3 linked regions of the Macaca mulatta genome follow. The protein of the gene in region 1 purifies or fractionates together with the protein of each later gene. This does not show direct contact. Links are inferred from orthologs where the notes say so. Each region holds a gene or a part of one and is shown in the gene's direction. Other genes may lie near its edges.

The links. The genes of interacting proteins can lie anywhere in the genome.
Region 2: the proteins of PRKACB (region 1) and AKAP11 purify together in Homo sapiens (affinity purification with mass spectrometry; 5 studies listed by BioGRID and IntAct, counting the BioPlex papers as one, with this or other methods). This does not show direct contact. The link is inferred for Macaca mulatta from reciprocal best matches to the Homo sapiens genes PRKACB and AKAP11.
Region 3: the proteins of PRKACB (region 1) and AKAP5 purify together in Homo sapiens (affinity purification with mass spectrometry; 4 studies listed by BioGRID and IntAct, counting the BioPlex papers as one, with this or other methods). This does not show direct contact. The link is inferred for Macaca mulatta from reciprocal best matches to the Homo sapiens genes PRKACB and AKAP5.

The regions. Positions count from the first base shown.
Region 1 is NC_133406.1:156,357,715-156,362,770, reverse strand, and holds part of PRKACB (cAMP-dependent protein kinase catalytic subunit beta), read left to right. Parts: intron 1-1,306; coding exon 1,307-1,433; intron 1,434-2,418; coding exon 2,419-2,514; intron 2,515-5,056. UniProt on the Homo sapiens protein: Mediates cAMP-dependent signaling triggered by receptor binding to GPCRs.
Region 2 is NC_133422.1:21,626,695-21,631,850, forward strand, and holds the start of AKAP11 (A-kinase anchor protein 11), read left to right. Parts: upstream 1-2,222; 5' UTR 2,223-2,493; intron 2,494-2,739; exon of another isoform or gene 2,740-2,946; intron 2,947-5,156. UniProt on the Homo sapiens protein: Binds to type II regulatory subunits of protein kinase A and anchors/targets them.
Region 3 is NC_133412.1:137,557,497-137,562,652, forward strand, and holds the start of AKAP5 (A-kinase anchor protein 5), read left to right. Parts: upstream 1-2,496; 5' UTR 2,497-2,597; intron 2,598-5,156. UniProt on the Homo sapiens protein: Multivalent scaffold protein that anchors the cAMP-dependent protein kinase/PKA to cytoskeletal and/or organelle-associated proteins, targeting the signal carried by cAMP to specific intracellular effectors.

The DNA.
Region 1 (5,056 bases):
CAATTAAACACCAGCATATGGAAATTAATATTTTATAAGTAAAAAGTAATAATAATGACATTTTATGTTTACAGGTGCATGGAGAAAATAAGAGGGGACCTCCCAGGTCAAATGTTTCCCAGTTTAAGCATAAATGTTGCAATGACCAGAATGATTATTTTAATCTCTGCTTACAATGTTCTCCTCATTCCTTGTCATTTGGCATACAATGCAGATTGACAGTGTTGGGATGAAGCAGAAACTGGAAGGGTATTATAGAATTTTGCTCCCCAAAAGCATTTTTCTTTACATATGCATTATTTCAACAAATATTTACTGAGCACTTGGGAAATGCAGTGACAAGCAAAAAAGGCAGCACATATAATCTTTTGTTGGAATTTGTATTTCTGTTACTACTAGATCAAATTCATACCAACCATCTTGAGGGAAATTCTATTCATAGTTAAGGTTGTTGTTCACTGAGGAAACAAATCTGAAAGGCATTGCAATTTATCAGGCAGATTAGTAGAATTCAAGTAATGCATTAGAAGATAAATTAGAAACTCAGAAAATTGGTATATCCTTTTGAATTTTTCAGATTGTGACATCAAAATTACACTGATCTATTAATCTAATATATACATTAAAGAACTGTACATATTTACACTAACATAGAGATTATTCTTATGTCTAGCTATGTAAACAAGCATAGTAGAAGATTTGGAAATCCTGATGCCAAGGTCGTTTCTATGGTTTCTGAATGGGATTATGAGTATTCATCCTTCTTCATCGATATTTTATGATATTTTTCCATAATGAACACATGTCATTTTGTAACAGGAACTATTACAAAATGGGTAAAATGGCATTAATCTGCAGATAAATGCAGCTAAAGAACTTCTATGTAGGGAAATTCTATGAACTCTTGAAATTTGTGAGAAAAGTAGATGGAGCCACTATAGCAGTGGCCCCGATAGACACTTCAATTGGCACATTTGCTTTTCAGTCATTCTCAAGATCAGACATAATTAGAAAGACATCAATATATTCAAATATAGGCTATAATGATTCACAGTGAGATAACTATTTTAGGTTTATATTTTTCCTCAACGTGTGCTTCCCCATAAATTTATCAGAATGTTATTTGAACACAATATAGAGATTTAATAAATATTTGAAAAGTAACAAAATTCTTTACATACATTTTTTTAAAAATACTTTTTGTTCCCAAAGTACCTCTACTTCATATTGGTTTTTATGTATAATCTACTAATTAGAATGTATTAACTCATTTTTACAGAAAATCAATGTTTTTATTTCTTTGCAGTGAACCCCATGCCCGGTTCTATGCAGCTCAGATAGTGCTAACATTCGAGTACCTCCATTCACTAGACCTCATCTACAGAGATCTAAAACCTGAAAATCTCTTAATTGACCATCAAGGCTATATCCAGGTATGACTTTAACACATTCTGTATAATGTATTTGAGAAAATACTAGGCAAGACATTGTATGTATGTAAGCCCAACCTGGATTTTTTTTTGAAGAAGACAATTATTCCTAACAGTTTAAGTAGAGCTCAGAGTTTCGCTGCTATTACAGAGAAGCAAAAATCCTATTATGAAAGGAACTTGTTTGTATCTCCCTTAATCTATAGCTGTGAACTGAGTATAGCCTCTTGCATAAGGAGATATTAATAGCTAAATCTGTGAGCAGTTATTACTGCCAGGCATATTCCAGGTGTTTTACATGTATTATTTCTTTAATCCTGATAAACCTATGAAGTAGAAATACCACTGTTATCTTCATTTTAAGATTAACAAAACTAAGGCATGGCAAGGTCATTTAGCCAGTAAATGGTAGTCAGAATTTGAACCTAGGCAGTCTGATCCCAGAGTCCATGCCCTTTACGACTACAATATAACTGCCAAAGGATCCCTGACTACCAATACTGAACTTGTAGAAACATTTTCTTTTCACTTCTACTACTAATAAAGTGGGAGCATTTCTTTTTACACAATTATCAATAGATTCTCCCATTGACATTTTTACACTTCTGATGGTGCAATTAATGGCAGAGGACATATTGGGGTAAGGCAGACATTTAGCATTGTTTCATTTTTATTAATGCTATTTATTTTTACCTTTTATTTTCACTTTTTTATTCCTTGGGTCTAGGATCTTATAATAATGACTGAAAAGGGTTTTGTTGTTATTAATTTGTTCCTTTTCTTTGTGTTGAGGAAGGATTTCCAACTTGGAGTGTTTAAACCTTCATTCACTAACTATTCATTAATGAATTTCAATTACATGGACTTAATTATTTTTTCAGTTTCTTTCATAGTTTCAATTTGAATTTTAAACTTTCAATTTAGGTTCAATAAACACATTTATTGTGAGGTAATACATTTTCACTAATATTTTTTTTTTCTTTTATAGGTCACAGACTTTGGGTTTGCCAAAAGAGTTAAAGGCAGAACTTGGACATTATGTGGAACTCCAGAGTATTTGGCTCCAGAAATAATTCTCAGCAAGGTATATTCATAATATCAATACGTAAGAGGTAGAAATATGAGTCATGCATCCCTATGGACTTTTGTAAAAAGTTTATTGATCTAATTTTACAGTTTTAATTTGATCTGAGTTATGAATTTAAATCTATTTGTGCATGATTACTAAAGAATTACTATTTAGCATCTACCACTAATCCTAAACCTCTGTCAATTTTAACTCTGGGTCTTAGAGAAATAATATGAATAAATATGACCTCTAGATCCATGTTTGGCAACCAAAAACATAGTCTTTTCTTAATTATTCCTAGTAACAGGAGGGTAGAGAAGACTTGCTCTGGATTATACCAAGAGGTAAATCTAGAGATGATATGTACTAGTTGTCCATTCTTTCTTTTTCAAATTTACCAGTTGAATAAAAGGAATGTATGAGAAGTGTTTTTAAATTTTAAATAGGACTATTAACAGCAATTGAATAGTTTTAGTTGTATTGAAGGCAGCTCTACTTTTCTAAATAGTGAAATGTGGTGAGAGAAACTGTACCTATATCTAAAAGAATGGTTAACTTTTCCTCTGCCATCTCTTGGTGGAGAAATCTAGAAAGGAGAACCTAACAATAACCAGGCACAAATAGGCGAGAGGAAAAGGAAGGGAATAAGACACATGCTTCAGTGGTTCCCAAATGGGATCATTGAAATATGGCTAACCTATAGAAGGGTTAAAATAAAAGATTTCTTTCAAGTTTTCTCTCATTATCTTTTGTAATTTAAATAATGTATAACTTCTTGATATTTTATAATCTAAATATCATTGCAGTTAACACATTTCTTTAAATACAGTTAACAAATAATGTGACAACAAAATGAGCACTAAAACTTTTACAAATGTGTATATATTGTAAAAGTAATACTCATTATACAAAATTTAGAAAATACAGAAAAACATAAAGAAACAACCAAAAAAACCTATATGTAATCCCACCAACCTAGAGGCAGCCTTTTTAAAAACATTCATATATATATGTACATTTTAGCTTTTATTTTAGGTTTGGAGTTACATGTGAAGGTTTGTTACATAGGTAAACTCATGTCATGGGGGTTTGTTGTACAGATTATTTCATCACTCAGGAATTAAGCCCAATACCCATAGTTATCTTTCTTATCCTCTCCCTCCTCCCTACCTCCACTCTCAAGTAGAATCCAACGTCTGTTTTTTCCTTCGTTGTCTTCATAAATTCTCATCATTTAGCTCCCACTTATAAGTGAAAACATGTGGTATTTAGTTTTCTGTTCCTGCATTAGTTTGCTGAGGATGATAGCCTCCAGCTCCATCCATGTTCATGCAAAAGACATGATCTCATTCCTTTTTATAGCTTTATAGTATTCCATAGTATATATGTACCACATTTTCTTTATCTAGTCTACAATTGATGGACATGTAGGTTGATTCCATGTCTTTGCTATTGTGAATAGTTCCACAATGAATAAACAAATGCATGTGTCTTTATGATGGAATGATTTATAATCCTCTGAGTATATACCCAGTAGTGGGATTGCTGGGTCGAATGGTAGTTCTGCTTTTAACTCTTTGAGGAATCTCCATACTGCTTTCCACAATGGTTGAACTAATTTACACTCCTACCAACAGTGTCTAAGGGTTCACTTTTCTCTGCAACCTTGCCAGCATCTGTTATTTTTTGACTATTTATTTATTTTGAAGATGGAGTCTCGCTCTGTCACCCAGGCTATAGTGCAGTGTCATGATCTCGGCTCACTGCAACCTCTGCCTCCTGAGTTCAAGCGATTCTCCTGCCTCAGGCTCCCAAGTAGGTGGGACTACAGGCATGCACCACCACATCCAGCTAATTTTTGTATTTTTTGGTAGACACGGGGTTTCACCATATTGGCCAGGCTGGTCTTGAACTCCCGACCTCAAGTGATCCACCCTCCTCGGCCTCCCATAGTTCTGGGATTACAGGTGTGAGCCACTGCGCCCTACCATTTTTTGACTTTTTAATAATAGCCATTCTGACTGGTGTGGAATGGTATCTCATTATGGTTTTGACTTGCTTGCATTTCTCTAATGATAAGTGATATTGAGCATTTTTTCATATCTTTGTTGGCCACGTGTATGTCTTCTTTTGGAAAGTGTCAGTTCATGTCCTTTGCCCACCTTTTCATGGGGTTGTTTGTTTCTTGTAAATTTGTTTAAGATCCGCATAGATGCTGGATATTAGACTTTTGGCAGGTGCATAGTTTGCAAATATTTTCTCCCATTCTGTAGGTTCTCTGTTTACCATTGATAGTTTCTTTTGCTGTGCAGAATCTCTTCAGTTTAATTAGATCCCACTTGACAGTGTTTGCTGTTGTTGGAATTGCTTTTGGTATCTTTGTCATGAAACCTTTGTCCATTCCTATGTCCAGAATGGCATTGCCTAGGTTATCTTCCAAGGTTTTTATACTTTGGGGTTTTGCATTTAAGTCTTTAATCAATCTTGAGCTGATTTTTGTATATGGTATAAGGAAGGGGTCTATCGTCAGTCTTCTGCATATGGCTAGCCACTTATC
Region 2 (5,156 bases), on another chromosome or scaffold:
TTTGCTAGCTAGTTCTTAAACTCTGATTAGGAACATATGAATCATTATTTATTTAATGCTACACAGGTTCAAAATAGCTTAAGAGAAATGGAATTCGAGGTTGAGCAGGTGGCAGTGTTTCCGTTTTCACACTCTGAGAAGGCCAAGGTTTCTTAGGGAAGCATTCCTGGTATCCGTATCAACCAGTTCAGAGTTCCTCAGCTGGTGTACATGTGTGTCTAATTTCATTTGGGTTGAGCCGCTGACTCTGTTAGGTTTTCATAAAAAATCATTTCATTTCCCTTTCCAGCTTCCGTCCTACTGGTGTGTGCATGTTAAAGTGTAATTCAGGCTTAACCACTTTAGGTGTAGGCTAGTTAAATTGCTTTGTTTTATGTATGAGGAAGCTGAGACTCAGTGGTGATAAGGAACCTTGATTTGGTTGTATCCCTAATAACAGAGCTTCGTGTTGGAACTCGTCTCCTGATTCATTTCTTTTGGTGAAACATCCTCTTCATTTCCGAGCTTTCAACTTCTATCTTTTCAAATCTTACACTAAAGAATAAGTATCTGCATAGAATTTCATTTTCTGTTCTCTTCTTAGAACTGACTTTAAGAATAGACAGAAGAGGTGGTTGTCAGTGTAGCGTAATGGAGGGAAAAAAATTAAAGATGGGCCCTTCCTTTTCAGCCATTTGTTTTCCCCCAGGTTACAAAAGAAAATTCTCCATTTTATTTTTCCTAGTAATTAGGAGCAATCCACGTGTTTCAACAAAGGCAGAAACAGCATCAGGACTCTGACCTAATGAAGTTTAGAAATGTTAAGATCATTGGAAATTAAATTTCATGACTGTCTCCCACCTGGCCTATAAATCTCCTAATCTTTGCTTCTGCTTTGGCCTCTTTAAGACCCATTATTTTCAAGGAAGAGACTTTTTTTTTTTAAAGTAAACTCTGGGTGTCTCTCCCCTATTAAAAACTTTCTAATACCTTCTATTGCATTTAGAATAAACTTTCAATTCCTTTCTTGGCTAACAAAGCCTTACAGGATCTGATCCATGCTAGTTTCTGACTCAGCAAGAACATCTCCATCTTGGACAAGCACCACCATTTTAAGTTCCCCTTGATTAAAAACTGCCTAAATCCAGCCCCAGAAACATCAGCCTAATGTCATCATGACCATAAACCACAAATGACACCTCTGATGAGAAATATTCCAACCCTGAGATAAACCCCCCTCTGATCAGAAATATGCCTCCCCTCCAACCAGAGACATTAAACCCCCAGCAATAAAACCCTCCTCCACCCAGAAACATTCCAAGCCTGCAATATGCTCTCCCTCCCTCAACCGCTAAATACCTTTAGTCTGTAAGAGAGAACACTACTGACTGAAATTGGCCAGAAGACCCTCTCAGGTTTATTCTCCAAAATAAACCTGTCTCTGTTAAGCTGCCTTTTCTGTTTCTTTAACTCTTACAGTTTCCATCTCCAGGCTCAATAAAGTTTACTTTCTCATTTATTCTTCCCTCAAATGCACTAGAACAGGTCCTTACTTAGGGCCTTTGAATTAGTGTTATCCTTTTCCTGGAATGCTGTACGCTCTGATTTTTGCATGACTGTTATTCAAATCGCTGCTAAAATGTCTCCTCCTCAAAAGGGCAGCCCCTTTACTAGCCACTCAATCACCATCACGTCACTTATTGTAACTTCTTTACATACATTTTAAAACCAACAGATATTTTGTTTTCTTTTCATCCTCAGATAAGTTCCCTAGAATCTACACTACTTATCTTCATCATTGTTCAATGGACAATGATGTTCAATGGACAAAGCCTGGAGTAGTGTTTGTTGAATGAAGAAATGAACAAATGAATTGCACCCTTTCTTCCCTGACCCTCTCCTCTCAACAGGGCAAAACTTAACTCATAATGAGGATACACTCAAAAATGTCTTTTTTATTGCCAGGTGTTTCCACTCTTGAGGAACAGATGCCCTTAAGGAGACAGGGCAATACTGGCCCTTCGGATTTTAGGTGAAAATAATCAGCACAACAGCTTTTCATCTCTGGTTAGGATTCCCAGTGACCAAAGCTTTAGTTTCCGATTTCCATACCATGTAAAGACATCAGGGTGAGCACTAGGGCCCTGAGAACCCTGGGTGCTACTTCTTGGCTGGGATAGGGCCGGTTGCCCTGTGCGCTGTGAGTGGTCCTCCCTGGAGATGCTGGGAAAAGGGGTGGAGTCATCAGAAAGGATGAGCCTTCCTTGGGCCTTCGGATCTGGTGGGGCTGCCACTTAGGGAAGGGCCCGGGGCTTCGGAAGAAAGCAAAACTAGCCTTGTGGCGAAGAAGGAGCCCAGCTGGCCCCAGGCTGTAAGACTAAGGGGTCGACGGAAAAGAGGCAGAGCCTGAAACCAAATCTGCGGAGCAAGCCAAGGCCTGGGGACTTGCCAGAGGAAAGGGTTAAGCCGTTTCCAAGGCAACGGACCAGGAAGCACGCAAGACGTCCGCCGCAGGTTCGTAGGTCGCCCTCGAATTTAAAGCTCCCAAGGCTGAGCGGGTCCCGGCCAATGGAGAGGCCCCCTTTAAATCATGTGATCAGCGGGGCTGCTCCGCTAGCTGCTCCGGAGCACGTGGGAAGGCTTTTTTTCCTGTTCCTTCTTTCCCTTTTTAAACGCCCACTCACTTTTGCGCGGGCTCGGCTGCGGAGTTCTTCTCGCGAGAGGCGCGCTGCCCTCTCGCGAGAGTGAGTGGGAGGCGTGGAGAGTAGGCGGTGTTGCGGGCCGGAGCTGCGGCGGCGGCGGCGGCGGCGGAAGCCGAGGGGTGGGCAGGGCGGGGGCGGGCCGCGGGGCTGGGAGGGGGGAGGGCTGGGGGCCGACGCGGGAGGGGGCCAGCCTGCTCGCCCGGCTCGCTCACGGGTCGTTGCGGCCGGTGACATGTCCATGAGCTGCGGAGGCTGCGGCCCCCAGGTGAGCCGGGCTCCGACGCGTTTGCCGCGGAGGCTGCGGTTAGATGGGGTGGCGGCAGGTATGCGGCCGGCATGGATGGAGCGGCCCGGCTCCGGCGCCCCAGCCCCTCCGCCGGCCCGTGGTCCCTCTTCTGTCTTCGGGGCCGCCCGAGAGCTGCGCCTTCGCATGGCGGAGGGAGGAGGGCGGGAGGAGCGCGGCCGAGGGAGGAAACCCAAGGCACCGGGCCCAGAGTAGAGGGAGGTGCTCGGTCTCGAGACGGGTCTTCCTGGGGTCCCGAGTGTGGCGGTGGAGCTGCCGCCGCTTTTAATGACAGGCTGTTTAAATCCACGGGGTGGTCTTTAGAGACGGTCCCCCGGGTACGTGGTGTGCGCACAGGAACATTTGCAGCAGAAGGAGGACGTTGCACTTTGTCCGCGAACAGCATCCTTCACTGTCAGAACCCCGGAGCCCTGGAAGCAGGCGCTGCTCAGATCTTATGACAGAAACGGAAGGCGTCAAGGGGCTCTTCGTAGTATTGATATTTGCATTTGCTGTCAAATACCCTCCTAGGCTGTTAATGGCTTAAGGCTGGCCATAAAGTACTCCGAATGGATTTAGTATACTGCTATTAATCCAGGCATCTAAGCTGCTTTATAAAAAATATGTAGATGTAACCGAAGTATTAAAAAAAAAGTAAATGACAATGACAGTAAAAGCTAACATTTTTTCTCTTCCCCGTATTACCAGCTTTCATTTTTTTCTCTGCTTTCTCTGTCTTCTAAAACCATATAAAGTTGGTTGTGGTTTAGCTTTAGATGTTAAGGAGTTTCATGGTGAGAGAGACTGCTGAGACACACATCTAATAGCTTTAGTACAAACTGGAGTTAATTCCTGCTCTCTTTTCAGCTTTTCAATCGCTTGCAAAATGCTCGTTTTGCTTAGCTGCTTCCCACTGTTTTAGAAATGTCATGTTGATTGTGATTTCGTTATGTCTGAAAATACTCAAAATATGGAGTGCTAAGAAAAAATGGGGTATCAGTAATGCAAAGATAATTTTTTTTAACGTCATGATTTTAGGATGGCAGCCCAGTGCCTGACATGATTGGTGTCAGTTAAAATAGTGCAACTGAATGATTTTTTTTAAACGTTTACTTTTTCAAATGGTACCCTGATTATTCATTTTTTTTGTTGTTGTTGTTCCTCCTGACAAAACTGACCCGGGGTGAACAGTGAATGTCACTATTAATTGTAGCTGTAATAGTAATTTATGAAAGGTCAAAGAACGTAAGGGAATCAGGGAAGAAGTGGGTTCCCAAGCTGAACTAGGGACTAGTGTATGTACCCACATAACTGCACTATCGACGAGATTGATATGGGTCTAGCAGTGGACTCCTAGGCCAGTGATATTTTGCAGTTGAGGATATGGGAAGTTGCCTAAGACATGGAACCATAGTGAGAAAGTCTCTAGCCTTCTCTAGCCCCCTGAACTCCAGGGATAAGTCTAGAAGCTGAAGAAGTCCTCTTTTGCCTTTAGAGGCCGGAAAAAATATAGTACTTTTAATTTTTTTTATTTTTTAATTTTAGGAACTTACTGTCTGGAAAAGGAACTCAAACCAATTTGGACAACATATTAAAGACCGTTTTAAGAGAAATTGTCAGTTATAAATAGGTAGAGGAATTCTCTCTATACTTGACAAAAATGTAACGTAGAAAATATATCTTTGTGAATGGGCAGAGGAGACCAGTGTTGATTAGAAAAAAATTTCTTCTCACTCCATCTTAGCAAACTAATTTTCAGAAATAGAAAAATAAATTTTTTGGCTGGTCTTCATCACCTTTTGGCAAGGGTTTCAAACTTGTAGGGTGTGTGGTGTTTGGTTTTTCAAAAGTAATTGAAGTAACTTTGGATAGGGTAACTGATTTTTTTTTTTTTTTCCTGTCTTGTCTGCATTTTATTAATCAACTACCTGGAAGGATTGAAGAGTGAGAACTGGTCAAGAGAAGATCTAGGTTAAGCCTGGGTGTGAGTTAAGGGTCAATAAGCTGGTAATATGGGTAAGAGAAAGAAAAATGCTTTATCAGTTTAAAAACAGACTGGAAAGATTCAAATGTCTTGATTCTCCCAGTCATCCTTACATATAAAAGTTTATTTAAAATTACTTCTGGGCCAGGCCTGGTGCCTTACGCTTGTAATCTCAGGACTTTATTTAGGAGGCTGAGGCGGGTGGATC
Region 3 (5,156 bases), on another chromosome or scaffold:
GCATGTGGTCGCATACCTGTGGTCCCAGCTGCATGGGAGGCTGAGGTGGGAGGATTGCTTGAGCCAGGGATTGTACCACTGCACTCCAGCCTGGGCAACAGAGCAAGACCCTGTCTCAAATAAAAATAAGACAGCTATTCTACCCTGTCTTCACTTAAATAAGCTCATCTTATTTTTTGCCTGAAACTCTTGCAAACTCCCAGGACTGCTAGTTTTGAGATACCTTGGATCTCAATAAAGAATAGTTCTCAATTGCTTATGAGTATAATGTATTTCTTTTGGCTTAAAGTTCAACACTGGCAACAAGTAGGGCTAACAACCCATAGAGAGATACGAAGACCATTTCTGTAGGCGTGTTTGCTGAGTGAAGAAGGCTGACTGAATTTTTTTTTTTTTTTCTTTTGAGACAGGGTCTCACTTTGTTGCCCAGGCTGGCGTGCAGTGGTATAGTAGTGGCTTACAGCAGCCTTGACCTTCTGGGCCCAAGTGATCCTCCCATCTCAGCCTCCTGAGCTCCTGAGTAACTGGGACCATAGGTGCACCACCATGCCCAGCTAATTTTTAAATTTTTTTTGTCTCCCTATGTTGCCAAGGCTGGTCTCAAACTCTTGGACTCAAGCCATCCTCCTGCCTTGGCTTCCCAAAGTGCCGGGATTACAGGTGTGAGCCACTGCACCCGGCCCCGAATTCTTAATTACAACTAAACTAGATGCTTGTGGATTTTCCTGTTTTACAACTCTTGCCTCTTTTATCTGTAAATTTAAGATCTTGACAGTTTGTTTATATTTGGCTTTGCTTTTGTGTCCCAAGAGTTCTTTCCGTGATAAGCCTATGTGGAAACTATGGAACCTTACAAATATAAAACATTTCCAAAAAAACATACAAAAATGGACACCTGACATCTACACTCCCTAAGATCGTGATCCTCTTGAAGAAAGGAGATGAACGCGGCTGCTTTTCAGTAGTTCTTCACTGCACCTTACCAGGTTCTTCATCTGGATGCTATGCTGTGAGGGCCTGAGGAGCAGGCTGGGATTGTGATGGATCCTACTGGATTTTACAGCTGGAGCTCCCAGGAATGCCCTCATAGGGAATGTCCTGAAGGGAATCATGGGTAACTTGTAAGCTACCTCAACTTATTTTTGGAACTATGTAAGATATAAGATGGATGGAGCTGGGTTGCTGTGCCTTTCTCGCCTTGTCCGCATAGAGATGCAGCTGCTCCTGCAGGCCAAAGTTCTGCACGAATCACCTCCACCTGCTTCCCACTGGGAGACAAAGGTCTGAGAGCCTGTTTAGCGATGAACCACGATGATCTTTTTTTTTTTTTTTTTTTGAGACGGAGTCTCGCTGTGTCGCCCAGGCTGGAGTGCAGTGGCCGGATCTCAGCTCACTGCAAGCTCCGCCTCCCGGGTTTACGCCATTCTCCTGCCTCAGCCTCCCGAGTAGCTGGGACTACAGGCGCCCACCACCTCGCCCGGCTACTTTTTTTTTGTATTTTTTTTTTTTTTTTTTTTTTTTTTTTTTTTTTGAGACGGAGTCTCGCTGTGTCGCCCAGGCTGGAGTGCAGTGGCGCGATCTCGGCTCACTGCAAGCTCCGCCTCCCGGGTTCACGCCATTCTCCTGCCTCAGCCTCCGAGTAGCTGGGACTACAGGCGCCCGCCACCACGCCCGGCTAGTTTTTTGTATTTTTAGTAGAGACGGGGTTTCACCGTGTTAGCCAGGATGGTCTCGATCTCCTGACCTCGTGATCCACCCGCCTCGGCCTCCCAAAGTGCTGGGATTACAGGCTTGAGCCACCGCGCCCGGCTGTATTTTTTAGTAGAGACGGGGTTTCACCGTGTTAGCCAGGATGGTCTCAATCTCCTGACCTCGTGATCCGCCCGTCTCCGCCTCCCAAAGTGCTGGGATTACAGCCTTGAGCCACCGCGCCCGGCCTACGATGATCTTATACTCAAGTCACTCCTGAGAAAGTCGGGTTTCTTTCTGTTTCCATTTCTATATGTAATTTTCGCTTCAAACAAAAATGACCTCGCTATTCCATACACAGTTTTGAATCCTGCTTTTAAAATGCGATGTCTGCCTTGTCTTTAAATATTCTGAGGGGGAGGAGAGGACATGTGTAACAGGACTGTCTATAATTTGAAACTGGACCTCACCATTTAGCGTCTCAGAAACGCGGGGTTCATTGCCCTGGCCGCTCCCCGCCTTCCCTCCGCCCCCCACCCCTCCCCGAGCCTTCGGCTGGCTCTCGCGGTCCCCGCCTCGGCGATAATGTAGTCTGGCGGCGGAGATTGGCGCCCAGGCGGAGCACGGTGGCCTTCCCCGCGGCAGGCAGGCTGCTGCTGCAGGTGGGTCCCGGCTTCCGTGCCGCCCCCCGCCTCCCGCGTCGCCACGCCCCTGCCCGCCCGCTCGGCTCCGCTCCGCTCGCATTGGCTCTGCGGGCTGTCTGTCCCCGCGCGGTGGGGAGGGGGCGCACCCGGCGGCGGGCTCTGCAGAGGGCGCCTTGCTTCGGCTCCCTGGAGGCCTGGGCGCCGGGCCCCGCGAGCGCGCCGCCACCTTGGGAACAGTGTTGGCCAAGGACCCCGACGCCCTACGTGAGTAAAGGCAGGGCGGGGAGCCTGCTGGAGAGGAGGGTCGGGGGCAGTGTCCGGTCAGCGGACCGCGGAGTGGGCAAGAGGCGCCCACTGGACATGGGGGATGTGAGCCCCCTGAGGTGCTGGGAGTAAGAACGCGGGAGGTCGCTTGTCCGCAGGAATCCGCGGCCAGGACGACCCTCATCAGGTCTGCCCACCTATCACCTTCGCGTTACAGCTTGTCTTAGAAGCATGGGTTGCCGGTGGCTTTTTTCCTTCTTTATCCCTCTTTGCGAAATGTGATTCTGGGTTTCTGGCCATTACATTATAATTCTGCAGACAGCTTGAAGCTGGGTTATCTGTTCCACGCCCCCGGCATTTTCCTTTTTGAGTACTTTATCCTGCGCTCTGTCTCCTGCCATAAGGGGCGTCAAGCTAGAATTCGAGATTCCTTCCTCCAGGAGGAACCTTCGTGGTCCATATCTGGTGCTGGGAAAGATGCATTGCTTTCCTCGGGTAGTGGATGTTCTTTGCTGCTTAAGGGAAAAAGGAAAGGGAGTGTTTTCTGTGACATGAGACTTGAAATTCTATCAGGAAATGAGCACAGGGACTTTAAGATTTCCTGAGGCGATAAAGCTACCCTTGCTGGTTAAGAGCGAATCCTTTGCAGTCTGACATTCTGCAAAGTTTTAATGTCTACAGACTGCATTATTTTCCCCCTTCAGTTAAGTTTCTGTTTGGGCATTCGTTTTATTTCTAGTGTGTGAGACACATTCAAGTGAGCTTCTCAAACCATTGTCTTTGCGCAATCCACGTTAGTTTCAAATGATACACTCCTGAACATCTCATTTCAATATTTCTATTATGTGGTAATACAGCCTCTGCTTAACAAAAGTGCTCAGGTGTTGAAAACTCACAAGAGGTGAGAAGATTTAAACAGAGTTATCAGCTGAGGTTCTAGTGCTCACTGAAATATAAATGTGAGGAGAAACACTGTCAAATGTCCATATTTTAGTTCCGTCATTGTTCTAGAATGACTTTATCTTTCTGTTAGAGGCATACAGTATGAAACACCCAACCTAAGAGAATATTTACTTAGATCATAAACTGATTTTCAGGGTTCCAGTTCTTTCCACAGTTCATAAAATTATGGGTTACCCACATGAAACTTCAGTGAAGGATTTACATAAAAACAATATAAAGAATGAGTCCCTTTGCTTATTTTAGGGCATCCACCCACTAAAATTCATAGGATCTTTGTTAGATAATCACTTCCCATTTCCATTCTTTGGTACCATCATACCATTCTGAGGATTAAATTTTCAATACACCTTTGTATTATCTAACAGTTTGCCAATTGCATAGTTTATCAACCTATTTTTGGCTGTTAAATTAGTTCCTGAACCGAAAAAGCAAAATATAAAGAATTTCTTTTTTTTTTTTTTTTTGAGACTGAATCTGGCTCTGTCGCCCAGGCTGGAGTGCAGTGGCCGGATCTCAGCTCACTGCAAGCTCCGCCTCCCGGGTTTACGCCATTCTCCTGCCTCAGCCTCCGGAGTAGCTGGGACCACAGGCGCCCGCCACCTCGCCCGGCTAGTTTTTTGTATTTTTTAGTAGAGACGGGGTTTCACCGTGTTAGCCAGGATGGTCTCGATCTCCTGACCTTGTGATCCGCCCGTCTCAGCCTCCCAAAGTGCTGGGATTACAGGCTTGAGCCACCGTGCCCGGCTTAAAGAATTTCAAAAGCTTGGTTTTCAAATAACAAGAACTCAGACTACTCTTGGTTCAATTATGAGTTGATAAGTGCCTTGTGATTAAATGACCATTAATCAATTTTTAAATTTTTTTACTAATGAATATACTGCAGATTAGTATCCCCAAACAATCCATTTTCTGATGAAACTCTTAAAGCCCAGTTTCAGAACATAAGCTTTAAGCAACAAGCAATCTTTTGTTTAATCTGAGCTCTGTTACAGCTCTGCCTTAATCTCAGCCAAATTGCTTCATCTGTAGATGGTGATACCACCATCTTTGTAATACTGTGGTGAGGATTACAGATGTATGTAAAAGTGTGTGCACCGCCTAATACCCAAGAATTGCTCAATAAATGTCAGCTATTGTTACTCTTACTGACCTCCAACTATGTGCAGATTATGGTGGAAACATGTGATACAGCAAATACAGTACTTAAATGAAAATGTCAAAATTATACAACTAATTTAAGAGTGGGAAATGACAGTAATGCTAAATTTTCCTAAGAATATGTATGAAAAGTAGCACTTCCTTGATGGAACATACATTTTTAGAACAGAAACCTTATGTTATAATGGAAAAACTAGAGAGTCAAAGTCTCTAGTTCTAACTCTGGCTATGACCTTATCTAGCTGCATGGCTTTTAACAAGACAATTGCTCCCCTCTGGAGTTCAGTTTTGTCATCTGGCTGGATTTGAGTAATCTCAAATAATCTCTAAAGTCCTTTGCAGCTTTAAAATTATTTATTGAGTGTGATAAAAAATACATTAGCTTGTTTTTCATCCTGCACTTCATTTTTTGTTCTTCCTGTTGTTTGCTTAATTTGC